Arabidopsis thaliana: one gene and its partner. The protein of the gene in region 1 purifies or fractionates together with the protein of each later gene. This does not show direct contact. Each region holds a gene or a part of one and is shown on either strand. Other genes may lie near its edges.

What was found.
Region 2: the proteins of HMGA (region 1) and AT4G31360 fractionate together in Arabidopsis thaliana (co-fractionation; one large-scale study listed by BioGRID). This does not show direct contact.

The regions. Positions count from the first base shown.
Region 1 is NC_003070.9:5,135,573-5,143,965, reverse strand, and holds HMGA (high mobility group A), read left to right. Parts: upstream 1-4,498; 5' UTR 4,499-4,612; coding exon 4,613-4,696; intron 4,697-4,770; coding exon 4,771-5,301; 3' UTR 5,302-5,850; downstream 5,851-8,393. Other genes in the region: AT1G14910 (ENTH/ANTH/VHS superfamily protein), read left to right, coding at 395-484, 609-678, 776-873, 1,107-1,245, 1,363-1,490, 1,576-1,668, 1,792-1,842, 1,974-2,039 and 7 more; AT1G14890 (Plant invertase/pectin methylesterase inhibitor superfamily protein), read right to left, coding at 6,262-6,921. UniProt on the Arabidopsis thaliana protein: Binds A/T-rich DNA with a highly dynamic distribution into the nucleus.
Region 2 is NC_003075.7:15,217,849-15,226,288, reverse strand, and holds AT4G31360 (selenium binding protein), read right to left. Parts: upstream 4,447-8,440; 5' UTR 4,345-4,446; coding exon 4,022-4,344; intron 3,613-4,021; coding exon 3,516-3,612; intron 3,379-3,515; coding exon 3,319-3,378; intron 3,060-3,318; coding exon 2,979-3,059; 3' UTR 2,662-2,978; downstream 1-2,661. Other genes in the region: FLA5 (FASCICLIN-like arabinogalactan protein 5 precursor), read left to right, coding at 1,615-2,451; AT4G31355 (uncharacterized protein), read left to right, coding at 6,467-6,592; AT4G31354 (uncharacterized protein), read right to left, coding at 6,944-7,141; AT4G31351 (uncharacterized protein), read right to left, coding at 8,405-8,440.

The DNA of each region.
Region 1 (8,393 bases):
AAGAAAATCATTGACTCATACGTCTAAGTACCAAGATGAATAATCGTAACTTTTATAAGAATGTTACACTTATCTGCTTTAACTAAAAAAAGTTACACTTGATCTTAGCCAAAAACAAAATAAAAGTGAAAACCGACAAAAAAGAATGATGAAGAAGTAAAAAAAAGAGGATAAAAAGAGAGTTAAAAATGAATAAAAAGAGTAAATACAAATCAAAAAGCAATTAGTCGCGAATTAAGGAAAGAAATATAAGAATGAGACGAATCCAAATCTGCGTCTCATTTGTTTTCTTCCTCTTTCTTCTCAGTCTCTGCGTTTCTTTCTCGGGGAAAAATAATATCTGAGAAGAAGATTCGAGAGAGAGAGATCTGAACGGTTTTTCGCTTAGTCTCCAATGGGAACGCTACAGTCATGGCGAAGAGCTTACGGAGCCTTAAAAGACACCACCAAAGTCGGCCTTGTCCGAGTCAATAGCGATTACGCCGTACGCTCCTTTCGATTTCGATTTGCTTTGATTTTTTCAGCATTTCGATCGAATAGTTTTATATATCTTAGACCACCGAAGGTGAATCACTCATAGATTCGAGTTTTGATCTTCTAATTTACAGGAATTAGATGTTGCCATAGTGAAGGCTACTAACCATGTCGAGTGTCCTCCCAAAGATCGTCATCTCAGGAGTAAGTGATTGCTTCTCACTTGTTTTTTTGCAGAGTTTTTAGATTTGTATTTGTTTATTGTTTTTCTAAATATCTTATTCTCTGTGAATTGTTACAGAAATTTTCCTCGCAACGTCAGCGATTAGGCCTCGAGCAGATGTTGCTTACTGCATTCATGCTCTCTCCCGACGATTACACAAAACCAGAAATTGGACGGTAATTGATTTGCTCTTTCTCGGATTATGATCTGAATCTTTTAGGGAAGATAGTGATTATAGTAATTTGCAGCGTTTAGTATGATTAGATGTGTTCACTTTCATCCTCTGTATGTTTTAGGGTGTGAAATTCTGAGGATCGATTCAGTCATTGTTTCAAATTGGTGTAGATAGCTTTGGTTAGGTTTCTCATTCTTTCTGTTGGCTATTTTATTGTGTGTTTTGCTTCAACAGGTTGCATTAAAAGCACTGCTAGTTATACACCGGCTTCTGAGGGATGGTGATCCGACATTTAGAGAGGAGCTATTGAATTTTTCGCAAAAAGGACGCATTATGCAAATTTCTAATTTCAAGGATGACTCTAGCCCAGTCGGTGAGTCCTTACTGCTACATTCACGGGTCTATGTGTTTTTAGAAGCAAATGAGGTTCATTCAAGGTTTCTGCATAGAGTTATTGTTGATATGGTATTTGCTTTATGCTTGCTTACAGCATGGGATTGTTCAGGGTGGGTACGCACTTATGCGTTGTTTCTTGAGGAACGGCTTGAATGCTTCAGGGTTCTGAAATATGACATCGAGGCTGAACGTCTTCCAAAAGTTTCCCCAGGGCAGGAGAAGGTATCAAATTTGCGTTTTACTTGGTTTTCTGGCCTTATATTATCTCCTTTCCTTCCTGAGGGTATTCGATTTTGGAAATGAACAGGGGTATAGCAAAACAAGGGATTTAGATGGTGAAAAACTCTTGGAACAGTTGCCAGCTTTACAACAGCTTCTGCATCGTCTCATTGGTTGTAAGGTGCTTCTTTGATGTCATTTCCCGAGTCGTGCACTATGTTTTGTAAATCCCGTATTATTTTCTATTAAGTTGGAGAAGCTTTTCCTGACGTATGAACTGACTTTGCTCTTTCGACTTTTTCAGCCAGAAGGTGCTGCTAAGCACAATCATATCATTCAATATGCACTCTCCCTGGTACATTAAACTAAACTCGGGGGCATAATTTACATATATCCGCTAGTTCTTAGTGTTGTGTCAAATATATACTATCTGGAAAGAACAGCTTGATTTAAGCTCTGAGATCTTATTGTAAATTGTGTATGCAGGTATTGAAGGAGAGTTTTAAAGTGTATTGTGCCATCAATGAAGGAATTATCAATCTAGTAGAGAAGGTAGGCCAGTTTTTTCTTTTCCCCCAGAGTTACTCTCTCCCTTCATGTGTTTTTTGATTTCTTACTGTTTTATACATGCATATATTGCAGTTCTTTGAAATGCCAAGACATGAGGCCATCAAGGCCCTTGAAATATACAAGCGTGCGGGTTTGCAGGTAATGTTGTTGGGTTATTTTCTCTGTTAGATCAATTTAGATTTCACTTAACAAGGGTTAGTTTATCAATGCAGGCTGGCAACCTTTCTGCCTTCTATGAAGTATGCAAAGGATTAGAACTTGCAAGGAATTTCCAGTTTCCTGTTTTAAGAGAGGTATCAGATAATAACTTGTTTGTTACATTTAAATTTGTGATGGCAGGTACTTTATCAATACTAAATAAGTCTATTTTTGTTTTTTTCAAGCCTCCACAATCTTTTCTTACAACAATGGAGGAATATATGAGAGACGCACCTCAGATGGTCGACGTCACATCTGGGCCACTGGTACATATATACTCTCATTGTGGTCCTACTCCTACAGAAACCATGATTTTTCTTTTATAACTTATTTCTAAAAACTTTGTCAACATACAGCTTCTGACCTATACGCCTGATGATGGTCTTACTTCTGAAGATGTTGGACCTTCACATGAAGAACATGAAACATCATCGCCTTCAGATAGTGCCGTTGTTCCCTCTGAAGAAACGCAACTTTCTTCCCAGTCTCCTCCTTCAGTAGAAACTCCACAGAACTTCATTGATACTGATGATCTATTGGTAAATTATGCTTATTACATATGGTCTTGATTTCTTTATTCTGTCATTGTTATCCTTTTGTCTCTGATTCTCTCAGTATTACACACAGGGTCTGCATGATGATACACCTGATCCGTTAGCAATCCTGGACCAAAATGCACTAGCTTTGGCCTTAGTTTCCAATGATGGTGAGCTTCTTGGTCTATGTACTGGAGCTCTAAGTTTGCCTTTCTTGCTTGTCTTTAGTCGCAATTCTGGTTATGTTTCTGTTTCCAGTTGATTCTTCGCCGTTTAGTTTTGGGCAAGCAAGAGATTTGGATCCGTCAGGATGGGAGCTTGCGTTGGTCACAACACCTAGCAATGATATATCTGCAGCCACAGAGAGACAGCTGGTAAGATGTATTCTTGTATTAGTGATAATGGGATGCATCAATTACGTACCATTGTCCTGTTAACGTATGTCACCTCTGGGGAATTGATTTTGTGGCTTCTGAATCATTAACATTTTTTTCTGCAACAAATGCAAGGCGGGTGGATTAGACACGCTCACCCTGAACAGTCTATATGACGATGGAGCCTTGAGAGCAGCCCAACAGCCTGCCTATGGCGTCCCAGCTTCCAATCCGTTTGAGGTCCAAGACCTGTTTGCATTTTCAGACAGTGTTTCACCGCCTTCAGCCGTAAACAACCCATTCGGTCTCTATGAGCCAACCTATCATCAACAAGAGCAGCAGCCACAGCTACAGGTTGCACCCAGCCCTGCAAATCCTTTTGGTGATTTTGGGGAGTTTCCAATAGTTCCGGTTTCAGAACCACAAAGCACCACCAGTTTTGGGGCATTTCCAGTACCGGTTTCAGAGCCGTCAAACACCACCGGCTTTGGGGAGATTCCAGTAGTCCCGGTTACAGAACCGCCAAACACCACCGCGTTTGGGGAATTTCCAGTGGTGCCGGTTTCAGAACCACAAAACATCACTGGGTTTGGGGCATTACCAGTAACCCCGGCTTCAGAACCATCAAACACCACCGGTTTTGGGGAATTTCCAGTAGTGTCGGTTTCAGCACCACAAAACACCACTGGGTTTGGGGCATTACCAGTAATCCCGGTATCAGAACCGTCAAAGACCACCGGTTTGGGGGAATTTCCAGTAGTCCCGGTTTCAGAACCGCAAAACACCACGGGTTTTGGGGAGTTCCCGGTAAACGCAGGTGCTCATGAGCAACATAACAGCAACAACCCCTTCGGCAGCACGGGCTTCTTGTGATCCCATCTTCGTATATTTCTCAAAATGCTTTATTTGTCTCATATGATTCTATTGTTTGTGAGTAGTAATAAAATCACATCATCTTCTAGTCTTGCAAATCTTGTTCTGCTAATAGAGAAAGACTCCTCGGGATTGATTATATAAATGAATTTTCATTGGTGGAAAAAAAATGAAAGATATATATAACTCATTGTGTTACATTAACAAAATAATTTGAAATATGATTAGCAAAAACGCTACGTAGTATGTCGTTTTCTGTTCTAGTAATCCAGCTAGGCTGAACCAATGGCCATTCGTTGAATAAAAAAGGAAGATTGGAGGAGAATTAGGTAATTTAAGGGTAATAGTCAGCAGAAGTCATTCCCATATGTCCACGTCAGTAATCCTGCTCGAGAAAGCTGCTATAAACTCAGAGCCGTTGGATCAACCCGTAAGTTTGAAAACCCCAACCGTCAGATCAACACTACAAGTTAATATGAGAATAATGAGAAAACCACTTTCCCAAATTGCTTTTTAAAATCCCTCCTCACACAGATTCCTTCCTTCATCACCTCACACACTCTCTACGCTTGACATGGCCTTCGATCTCCACCATGGCTCAGCTTCAGATACGCATTCATCAGAACTTCCGTCGTTTTCTCTCCCACCTTATCCTCAGGTGAAGTACACCCCTAAAATCTCTCAATCTCTCTCAATTTAGTTTCTGAAATTTTGGTTGAAATTTGTGTTTAGATGATAATGGAAGCGATTGAGTCCTTGAACGATAAGAACGGCTGCAACAAAACGACGATTGCTAAGCACATCGAGTCGACTCAACAAACTCTACCGCCGTCACACATGACGCTGCTCAGCTACCATCTCAACCAGATGAAGAAAACCGGTCAGCTAATCATGGTGAAGAACAATTATATGAAACCAGATCCAGATGCTCCTCCTAAGCGTGGTCGTGGCCGTCCTCCGAAGCAGAAGACTCAGGCCGAATCTGACGCCGCTGCTGCTGCTGTTGTTGCTGCCACCGTCGTCTCTACAGATCCGCCTAGATCTCGTGGCCGTCCACCGAAGCCGAAAGATCCATCGGAGCCTCCCCAGGAGAAGGTCATTACCGGATCTGGAAGGCCACGAGGACGACCACCGAAGAGACCGAGAACAGATTCGGAGACGGTTGCTGCGCCGGAACCGGCAGCTCAGGCGACAGGTGAGCGTAGGGGACGTGGGAGACCTCCGAAGGTGAAGCCGACGGTGGTTGCTCCGGTTGGGTGCTGAATTAATCGGTACTTATGCAATTTCGGAATCTTTAGTTACTGAAAAATGGAATCTCTTAGAGAGTAAGAGAGTGCTTTAATTTAGCTTAATTAGATTTATTTGGATTTCTTTCAGTATTTGGATTGTAAACTTTAGAATTTGTGTGTGTGTTGTTGCTTAGTCCTGAGATAAGATATAACATTAGCGACTGTGTATTATTATTATTACTGCATTGTGTTATGTGAAACTTTGTTCTCTTGTTGAACAATTATTGCTGCTTTGATTTCATTTTCACACTTAATAATGAGGGGAAAACTATGTAATTGGTAATGCTAAACATTCATTATTGTCACTAATTTAATTATGCTACAGTTAGCAGAAGAAAGAATCACTGTGGAATCAGCGCGGGAGTTGAAAATTTCAAAGGGAATTCAATTAGAAAAATCTGTGAAGCGAATGTGTGTAATCATTATCAATAGGGATTGAAATAGAAACTGTGAACAGAGTATGGAAGCTTTTTGGCATCCCCGTGAACAAAAAGGACAAAACCTTGTTTTCGTAAAGATTTTAGAGTGGGCCACTAATAGACAAACTTTGGGGTCATAGTCAGATGTTCTAATCATCTCACGGGTTTCAGTTCCCCTTAGACATGATGGCCAAAATTCATCCATATCATATCCAAATTCATCAAAGAAAAAAAAAAAAAAAAAAAAACCAGGTTCATGTATCAAATTTACTCATCAAAACCATGTATAATTATCTTCATTACTCATATAGCACACACCATATAAACACATATGACATATATTAATATTAATACAATCAAACATAGATTAATGTATAATTTGAACACCCAAACTCAGAGTTCTAACTCGGTTTCAAAGCCTCGAATACACATTATAAACTAAGCACACAACTTAACACATATATATATACAAGTGTTTTTATAACTTTAGGAATTTCAAGACCTAGCTTAGTTAGTTAGGCTCCATTGTTGGCGTAGGTATTAACGAGAGCGAGCGCATTACTCGTGAACCTCTTGACGTCGGCGACTCTATCGCAAATAGCCGTCTTCGTCTCTCCGTCTTCCATCTCCTCCGTGACCCCATCCGTACACGTCTCCTCGTCCGTCAACGCCGCGCTCATCCACGTCTGCACGTTACTCATCTGAAACCTAAACGCCGGATCTCCGGGACGACGGTGGTTCATCTCTCGGAGCTGCCTTAGGGAGCCACGCATCTGATCCACGGCATCTCCCACGTTCGAAACGCAGTCGTGGACAGCAGCTGAGGCAGCGCGACGTGAGAGTTTGGAGAGGTAAGCCGCCGTGTATTTTGCGCGGGAGAGAGAAACGCCGATTGCGAGTTTAGCTAGCCTTGCCGGATTATCTTGGACGGCGGAGGCGTATCCAGCTAGAGACGTGTAACATACGTCTGGATACAGCGTTGTGTTGCAGCTCGTACGGATGAAATCTAGATCATCGGTTGTTGGTTGTTCCGGAGGGAAACGGACGGCTGAGATTGTCCGGCAAATGAAGAGTAGGGTGACTAAGTAGAGAACCGTCGTCGTATAAAGCTGCCTCCCCATTTTAAGCTTTAAGTTTTTTACTCTGTTTATTTCTTCTTTGTTTCGAGTTAACATGTGAGATTGGAGGGTTTATGTAGACATTGAGTAATGGAGAAATGTGACATGTTTGCCCATTCATGCTCATTATAATCACATTATGGCCACTAATCATTTTGTCGGGTGTATTTTATCCATAGTTGGTGTGAAAAGGAAGGCTTGGTAGATTCACTATCTTAGCCGTACCTTAAAAGGAACTGCATTCTTTATGGTTATCTATCCCATATATATTTAAATTTTATAAGAAAATATGTTCATAACATATCAACGGTTAAAAAAATATCCATAACACTTCATTTTTATAACTATATTTTGTATGCACTTTTGTTTATAAATGTCGAGTATGAACACAAATGTTGAACTAGGTATGGGTCGCAAGTGAGATTTTGGGTGGACATTACTCCTCAGTTGCAATATCGACCACGAAAGGATCGTACGGTGAATACTATGATGGGACTCACCAAGTTATGGATGGAGTATGTGGAGATTCGCCTACAATCAATAATTCTGCTAAATAAAAGTAAATTATCCGAGAAGAAAATATCTGCACGCGTGATTATTAACATTGTACTAATAGTTTTCTCAAAATGCTCCAACTCATTGAATAACAATGTCTTTTTTTTCCTCTTTCTAAATAGACACCTTTTTTAGATTTTACTCATTTTTAGTGTTGAATCTGTTATATCAAGATTCAAGAGACAAATATATGACTCGAATTGTTTGAATTTTTGAACTTACTTTGTAGAACTAGGAACCCTAGAGAGTATCAATATAATTTGGAATTTTATTAGAAAAATTGTAGCGTTCTGATCTAATGCTATATATGAAAGAGAAGAAAATGATGACATGATCGTTTTAGTAAACGATCCACACCATGCTTCTTAAGAAGAAAAGTCCACTTAAAATGCCACTTTTAGAAAAAAATGAGTGTGTACTATATAGTTTATAGACTATAGTGGGGAGGTAGCCGACTAAATATATTATTATTTATTACATACATAGGATTTGATTAGTAACGTTTAAACCATTCTCATTCATGTTATGTGTTAACATATATTATATGCTTGGTTAGTAATAAAAATCAATATTAGTAATATTCATATATGATTACCAAATATGTATATGATTGAATTTGAAGCCTTCATATCTTAGTAAATTTTTTAACTATGCATTAATCATTATAATAGAATTTTTCACTTCAAATATTAATATTAATCATATCAAAACAAGAATTTTCTGTAAATTCCAAAACTTTTTGGTTACCAGAAAAAGACAATGAAAAGAAGAAGAAAAACTATTTGGTTGTTTTTTTCCAACGAAATATTTGTTAAATTCCTCGAATCATACCTATAATGAAGCCCGTAAAACTTATAATAGGCCTATTTCTCTAAGGCCCATCAGCATCAACACTTGGTTTGGAGCAAAGGCTTTCTCTCTCAGCTCAATCCCAGTTTTAGCTATGCGAGTATTCAAATGACACGAAATTTTTC
Region 2 (8,440 bases), on another chromosome or scaffold:
TGTTTTATAATTCAAAAGCATAATTAACGTAGGCATGTAGCCATTTTTTGGGTTCAATCTCGTTAGTGTGAACATTATTTTCGTCACTTTGTTCTAAAAAGTATCTTAAGACTATAATATTACGATTTAGTTGTTTTAAAATAGAGATAAAGGTCAAATGAGCCCGAACTTCTTAATTATTAGAAATGAAAACGGTGTAAAAAATATTATTAGTTGTTGTATTCGTATTTCGTAGGTTAACAAAGAGAATATGAACTCCGAGTTGCCAATTCGAATAATTGGTATAAAGCTGAAACTCTTAAATATTCGTTCGTTTCTACATATTATTATATACATATGAGTCATGAGTGCTTAAAAGACCAGTCGAACATATAATCGACAAATGAAAACGTGTTATACAATGTTAGATAGAAATATAATAGTAAGAATATAATTGATTATACATTCTTTTTTGGATGATAATTGATACCTAAGAAGCTTCTTATAAATGCGATATCAACTGTGACAATCTCTTTGACGTAATCCGTCGTTTACATGGTTTATATATGATATATACTGAAATTATACAAATTGACGTTCATCTACTTTTTTTTTTTTTTTTTTTTTGTGATTCACTCTTTAATTTTATTTACCTTTTTAAGAACATTTATCATTATTTGCAAACTCCAACTAATTTATATTTTGCTCTATAGTTCTGAGGCAAATTATTTACAAACATGAATATCGATGTCCAAAATATCATAATAAATTGATGCTTTTAAGTTGTAGCAAAAAAAATAAAAATATATGTTTTACCATCCACACTCAAAGTCGTTAAGCTAGCTTTTCCATCAAATGATGATATTTAGTTTAGAAATTAATGAACATGCGGCATTAACTGTGAAAACCTCTTTGACGTAATTCATTAATTAAATTTTTCGAAAACGAAATATAATGTGAACATAGCATGCAATTGACGTTTAGTTATTACTTGTCATTTTCACGGGGCTATAGACAGTTTCTATTCTAAATTCTAAATTTCTTTGTTACTCTTATTCAAAAGTATTTTAGCTTTCTCAGAATACTTATCTTTTTCTAATCATAATTTATCATTTCTTATTTATATTTACTCTGGTTTCCAAAAACTAAATATCGATGTGCCAATTATCATACAAAAAATTGATGATATTAATAAGTAGATGAGTAGTAATTTTTTTAGCAAAAATAAAAATTACTAGTGTTTAATTATTCATGTTAAGAGTCTTTTAGGTTATCTTTTCCATCAACTTTAGAAATCATTAACTAAAACTTCATCAGATTGTAAACAAAACAACTATAATTTTGTTACAATGATAAATTCATCTAATAAACATGCAAGTTCCATCATTATAATTTTAGTTCCTTTCGCACAGAAGAAAACTTTTTCAATTAACATAAAAAAACTTGTTAAAACGCAATTTAGCCATCAAATAATTAAATTCTCAATGGCCAAGTCTTACTATACTCTAAAAATAGCAGAGTAGACTTAGCTCACCAAAAGACTAATTCAGATTTAATACCAAAAACAGAGAAAATCTCTCCTTTTAAACCCACTCTTCGCCCTTGAGGTTTAGCAAAGAGAACACACGACACGAGATGGGTCTCAAAGCCTCCCTTTCTCTCCTCTCCCTCACCATCTTACTCGTCTTCTCTAAGGTCGTTACGGCGAATAACATCACGCTGGCCTTTCAGAAATACTCCAAATTCAGCACCATGAGGGACCTCTTCATCAAGACCAAGCTCATTGCAGCCATCGACAAATACCAGACGATAACCGTGCTTGCTGTTAGCAATGACGCTATCAGCTCCATCACTAACAGATCCGAAGTTGAGCTCAGGAACATCCTCATGACTCATGTTATTCTTGACTACTACGATGAGCTTAAGCTTCAGGGGATGAGGGAGAAGAGTATAATGCTTACTACCTTATACCAAACCACCGGGTTGGGTGAACAGATGAATGGTTTCTTGAACGTTTCCAAATCAAAAGGAAGAGTTTACTTTGGATCGGAAGTGAAGAACTCTCCTTTAAACGCTGAGTATGTCTCGACGGTGTACCACAATCCATATAACCTCTCTATCATCCAGATTACCATGCCAATAGTGGCTCCTGGACTCAGCCTTGCAATTTTCCCACCTCCACCACCATACGTTCATGTAGCTCCATATCCAACTCCCATGGATGCTTCAGTGGTTCCAGCTCCAGGACCAGCTGCTGATGACAATTCCCCAGATTCTGCTGTCCCAAAAACTCCACCTGCACCTGCAACAGACACACCAGAGGCTGATTCTCCAGCTCCTGCTCCAAGCGCCGATAATGAGAAGATTGAAGCTGCTGATAAGGCTAAACCATCTTCTTCTGCTTCTAAGGCTGGTTGGAGCTTTGATGTTATTCTCTTGTTAGCATTTTTGGCTAGCTTTGCTGGGTTCTAAGATTCGGGTGATGTGGGTTAAAGACAATAATGGTAGGTGAGATTCAAAACAATTTTTCTGTAGCTTTTAGCCAAGAAGAGAGACACGGCCATTGGAAGTGAAAGAAACCTAAATGTAATGAGCTTTCTACTCATCATGCATTGTATTTATCAGCCATTTTGAATGCAAATGTGATGTTTGTCCTATTGATTTTGTAACACAGTTCTAATTGTGTTAGAACATGCTTTAACCAGTGCATAGATTGTTAGAACCATGCATGGTCCCAACAACAAAAAACACTTATGCATCGGTTTGCTTCAAGCAACGAGATGAATAATAAACTAGCCTTACAAATACGAGTTAACCCCAAAAACTACAGAGATCCTTCTCTATCAACTAATCATGCATTGCCAAACGACGAGACTGCACTTACAGTGCTCATACCGAAACAATAAAAGTGAACCTAACAAATCTGACATTACTCTAGAAAGTCTTCTGCAGAAACCTAATTGATTAAACTGAGACCGAGGCAGAAACAAAGAACAGATTCATTTGACTTTCTTTATGATGTCCTCGATGACTTCTTCCATATCAAGTGCCTTCATTGGTGCAAATGGACGTTTCATCTCCTACAAAATGAGATAAACATAATCTACATCTTTAGGTCTATGTTAAGATTGAAAGGCAAAAACATATTCATGATTTCTACTCACAATAACACATTTCTCGTAATGAATAAGGATCAAGTTGATTTTCATTCTCATATGCATATAGAGCAAGTGGTGTTATGAGAATTAGTAATAACAATAAACCTTACTCAAACTGAACAAATCATATGCAGAAGCGAGACAAATTGAGATTTGTTTTTATTAGAATGAAAGTTTTTACCAAAAGACTGATGAATGTTTGGCCACCTTCCTCCCGGATCTCAAAGCAACCCCGCCTTGGCTGTTCAAGCACATCAAAAGAAAGAATTAGTAATTTAGAAGAAAATCTTATCAAGTATAATGTGAAAAGTATGCTCTAACGCATTAGTCAAAACGGAGCATTCATGACGATATATTCATCTGCAGTAAAAGCATTACCTTTTCAGGATTAAGAGACACCGTGACGCCAGGAACAGCTCCCTCCAAAGCTTCCTTCACCTGAATAGCTCTTGTCTTGAAAGCATTGCATTGTTTACTTCAATAACATCACAAAACAAAACAAAAAAGAACTCTTGTGAGACATAAGTATAGAAGCAAATTCCATTTATAGAATGAACACGTCCATTACGCATTGCAATTCAGCTAAAGCAAGACAAGAACACAAACAGAAAGCAGATAGTCAAGTCCTCTTCACAAATGCGAGCAAAACATAAACCACTAATCACTCAAACCAAAAACTTATGCAGAATCAAGATGAAAACCTAACACATTGTTCCACCCTAGCAAATAAACCTTAGCTGCTACACACGGACACACAAGTCTCAACACATACCCCAAAGTTGTAGGCTTTTAGATTCAATTTCAAAGAAAAAAACCTAAATTTTTGCTCTTATGATTCCAAACATTATCTCTAAAGAAATCGAAAACATTTACGCAAAAATTACCAGTGTTCTATAACAATCTTGGTTCTCGTAGGGTCCTCAACCTCTGGCTCTTCCTTCTCAACCTCCTCCTCAACGGCTTCCTCTGGCTCTTCAACTTCCTCTTCCTTCTTTCCCTTCTTGGCTCTCCCAGTCTCAATCGCTGAATTCTTCCTCTTAGCCTTCTTCGTCGCCGGCTTAGTGGCGGATCCAGCCGCTTTAGCACCGTTTTGTTGAGTCTGACTTCGAGTTCGACTGTCCATGCTCCGAGTCACTCTAGACGACGCCAACGTCGTTAAAGGTTTCGCCTTTTCTTCTCCATCTGCCTTACTCTTCTTCGGCGGCATTGTACGGACAGCAACAGGGTTTCGTCTTAACAATCTTCTTCTCCTTCTTCTCCGTCTCTGTCTTACCGCTCTTTCTTACTTTTTTGTTGTTTGATATTCCCTTTTGTGTTTGCTTTTTTCTTACCTTGGAAAAGTAATTCGAATAAACGGTAGAGATTTAACCTACAAGGGTTATTAAAAGGTTGACCGTTAGATTGCAGGGGTTATGATTATGTATTCTCAATGCCCAATAGTGCGCTACTGCTGTATCACACGACACATCCACGTGCTTCGAAACGCTGTGGTGTTTTGCCTCTAAAACGCACAACTACTTACCGTTTTGATTGGATAGAATGATTTTATTTTAATTCCACTTCTCTTTTTTACCTACATTATTTTGATTCCAATTCATTTGGCTTTTTCTAAACTCAAAATAAACTGAAACACTTTATCATATTTATTAAGAAATATTGATTTTCTGATACATAAAGTAAGATAAAAGTCTGTATATCCTTCTAGCTTTTTAGCATTTTGGTCACTGCGGACAATTTTAAGAGATTTTACTAAAAGTATCGTCCAATCCTTTTGTAGGTTTTTATGACTCAAGCCATCAATCCAAATTTCCAATATATGATGATAGTTGAAGTATTTGGATGTAGTAATGCTAAAATGTAATATGTTAATAAGTCGCATACTCATGGTGAACAAACATTCATCCATTATGGTGACATTTTTGTTTGTTTGTTTGTATAATAAAATGCAGGGGGAAGCTTTTGCAACAATGTGTGCATGTTGGAGAAATCTCAGTTAGCACTTTCACAACCAAGCTCCATGGGAAGATCTTTTGGACCTAAATATTTTAGAACTTGTTCATCACATCACAACCATCATCTTCAGTCTTCACTGTTACTCTATTTGTCTGTCTTTCACATATTAGCAAGTTGGTGAAATCTTGATTGGTTGATCCTGATCCCATAACAAATTACACTAATCTCACACAACGACGAACCCTCTTACAAGGTTGGTAGCATGCTAAACGTATGGAAAAATTTGGGAATCTTTTCTAAAAAAATAAGAAACTTGTATATATTTTTTTTCAACACAAACTTGTATTCTAAATCTACATAACGATGTAAAAACAAGTTGAATTTGTGGAATCGCTAACTATCAATGACGGGATCCAAAACCGGTTATTCAACATCGTCTTGTAAATTTATTATCCAAATTTCCATTGTTTAAAATCTGGTCTTGTAAATTTATTATCCAAACATAACCCAACATCGTCCATTATTATCCAACTCTGTCTAAACACTGAAACAAGAAACCGAACATGATCCATATGTCTAGAGATTTTTGAACTGTGGGTACCAAAGAAGGATCAATGTTCTAATCTCAAGTCTCAATCTAAAGTTTGAAGTCGTGGGTACCATTTTTCATCAACCAAAACATAAGCCAATCCAATCCAATCTTTTGTCTAAAGGATTGGTTACTTCGAACCTCAAGTCTCTGACTATTTTAAGCCGTGGGTAACTTGATCTTTGTCTAAAGACTGACACAAGAGACCGAACATGATCCATATGTCTAAAGATATTCAAGCCGTGGGTACCAAAAGAATCAATGTTGGAATCTCAAGTTTCAGTTCACTCGAAAGACTAAAGTTTAAAGCCGTGGGTACCATTTTCCTTGCACCAAACATAACCAAATCCAATCTTTTTGACAAAAGATTGGTTACTTTCGAACCTCGAGTCTCTGTCTAAAGACATAATGTTTTAAGCCGTGGGTATTCTTTTGTCTAAAGATTGAAACAAGACACCGAACATGATCCATATGTGTAGTGAGTTTCAAGTCGAGGGTACCAAGAAGGATCAACAGAAACTTGTATTATAAATCTACTTAACGATGGGAAGACAAGCTGAATTTTTGGAATCGCTAACGATCAATGATGGGATCCAAAATCCGGTTAGTTTAACATCGTCTTGTAAGTTTATTATCCAAATTTCCATTGTTTAAAATTATAAGTCTCTGTCTAATGACTTATAATGTTTTAAGCCGTGAGTGTTTCTTTATCTAAAGATTGAAACAAGAAACTGAACATGATCCATTTGTCTAGTGATTTTCAAGCCGTGTGTACCAAGAAGGATCAATGTCGAATCTCAAGTCTCAGACTAAGTTTGAAGCCGTGGGTACCATTTTCCGTGCACCAAACATAACCCAATCCAATCTTTTGTCTAAAGGATTGGTTACTTCGAACCTCAAGTCTCTGTCTTAAGACTTTCTTAAGCCGTGGGTAACTTGATCTTTGTCTAAAGACTGAAACAAGAAACCGAACATGATCCATATGTCTAGAGATTTTAAAGTCGTGGCTAACAAGAAGGATCAATGTTCACTCTCAAGTCTTAATCTTAATACCAAAGTTTGAAGCCGTGGGTACCATCTTCCTTCCACCAAACATAAGCCAATCCAATCTTTTGTCTAAAGAATTGGTTATTTTGAACCTCAAGTCTCTGTGTAAAGACTTTTTTAAGCCGTGGGTAATATGATTTTTGTCTAAAAACTGACACAAGAAACCGAACATGATCCATATGTCTAGATATTTTCAAGCCGAGGGTACCAAGAAGGATCAATGTTCAGTCTCTAGTCTCAGTCTAAAGACTAAGTTGGAAGCCGTGGGTACCATCTTCTTTCCACCAAACATAACCCAATCCAATTTTTTGTTTAAAGGATTGGTTACTTCGAACCCCATGTCTCTGTCTAAAGACTGTTTTAAGCCGTGAGTAACTTGATCATTGTCTAAAAAGTGAAACAAGAAACCGAACATGATCCATATGTCTAGATATTTTCAAGCCGAGGGTACCAAGAAGGATCAATGTTCAGTCTCAAGTCTCAATCTAAAGACTAAAGTTTGAAGCCGTGGGTACCATTTACCATCCACCAAACATAACCCAATCCAATCTTTTGTCTAAAGAATTGGTTATATTGAACCTCAAGTCTCTGTGTAAAGACTTTTTTAAGCCGTGGGTAACTTGATTTTTGTCTAAAAACTGACACAAGAAACCAAACATGATCCATATGTCTAGATATTTTCAAGCCGAGGGTACCTAGAAGGATCAATGTTCAGTCTCAAGTCTCAGTCTAAAGACTAAGTTAGAAGCCGTGGGTACCATCTTCCTTCCACCAAACATAACCCAATCCAATCTTTTGTCTAAAGAATTGGTTACTTCGAACCCCATGTCTCTGTCTAAAGACTGTTTTAAGCCGTGAGTAACTTGATCATTGTCTAAAAAGTGAAACAAGAAACCGAACATGATCCATATGTCTAGATATTTTCAAGCCGAGGGTACCAAGCAGGATCAATGTTCTGTCTCAAGTCTCAATCTAGAGACTAAAATTTGAAGCCGTGGGTACCATTTACCTTCCACCAAACATAACCCAATCCAATCTTTTGTCTAAAGAATTGGTTATATTGAACCTCAAGTCTCTGTGTAAAGACTTTTTTAAGCCATGGGTAACTTGATTTTTGTCTAAAAACTGAGACAAGAAACCGAACATAATCCATATATCTAGATATTTTCAAGCCGAGAGTACCAAGAAGGATCAATGTTCAGTCTCAAGTCTCAGTCTAAAGACTAAGTTAGAAGCCGTGGGTACCATCTTCCTTCCACCAAACATAACCCAATCCAATCTTTTGTCTAAAGAATTGGTTACTTCGAACCCCATGTCTCTGTCTAAAGACTGTTTTAAGCCGTGAGTAACTTGATCATTGTCTAAAAAGTGAAACAAGAAACCGAACATGATCCATATGTCTAGATATTTTCAAGCCGAGGGTACCAAGAAGGATCAATGTTCAGTCTCAAGTCTCAATCTAAAGACTAAAGTTTGAAGCCGTGGGTACCATTTACCATCCACCAAACATAACCCAATCCAATCTTTTGTCTAAAGAATTGGTTATATTGAACCTCAAGTCTCTGTGTAAAGACTTTTTTAAGCCGTGGGTAACTTGATTTTTGTCTAAAAACTGACACAAGAAACCAAACATGATCCATATGTCTAGATATTTTCAAGCCGAGGGTACCTAGAAGGATCAATGTTCAGTCTCAAGTCTCAGTCTAAAGACTAA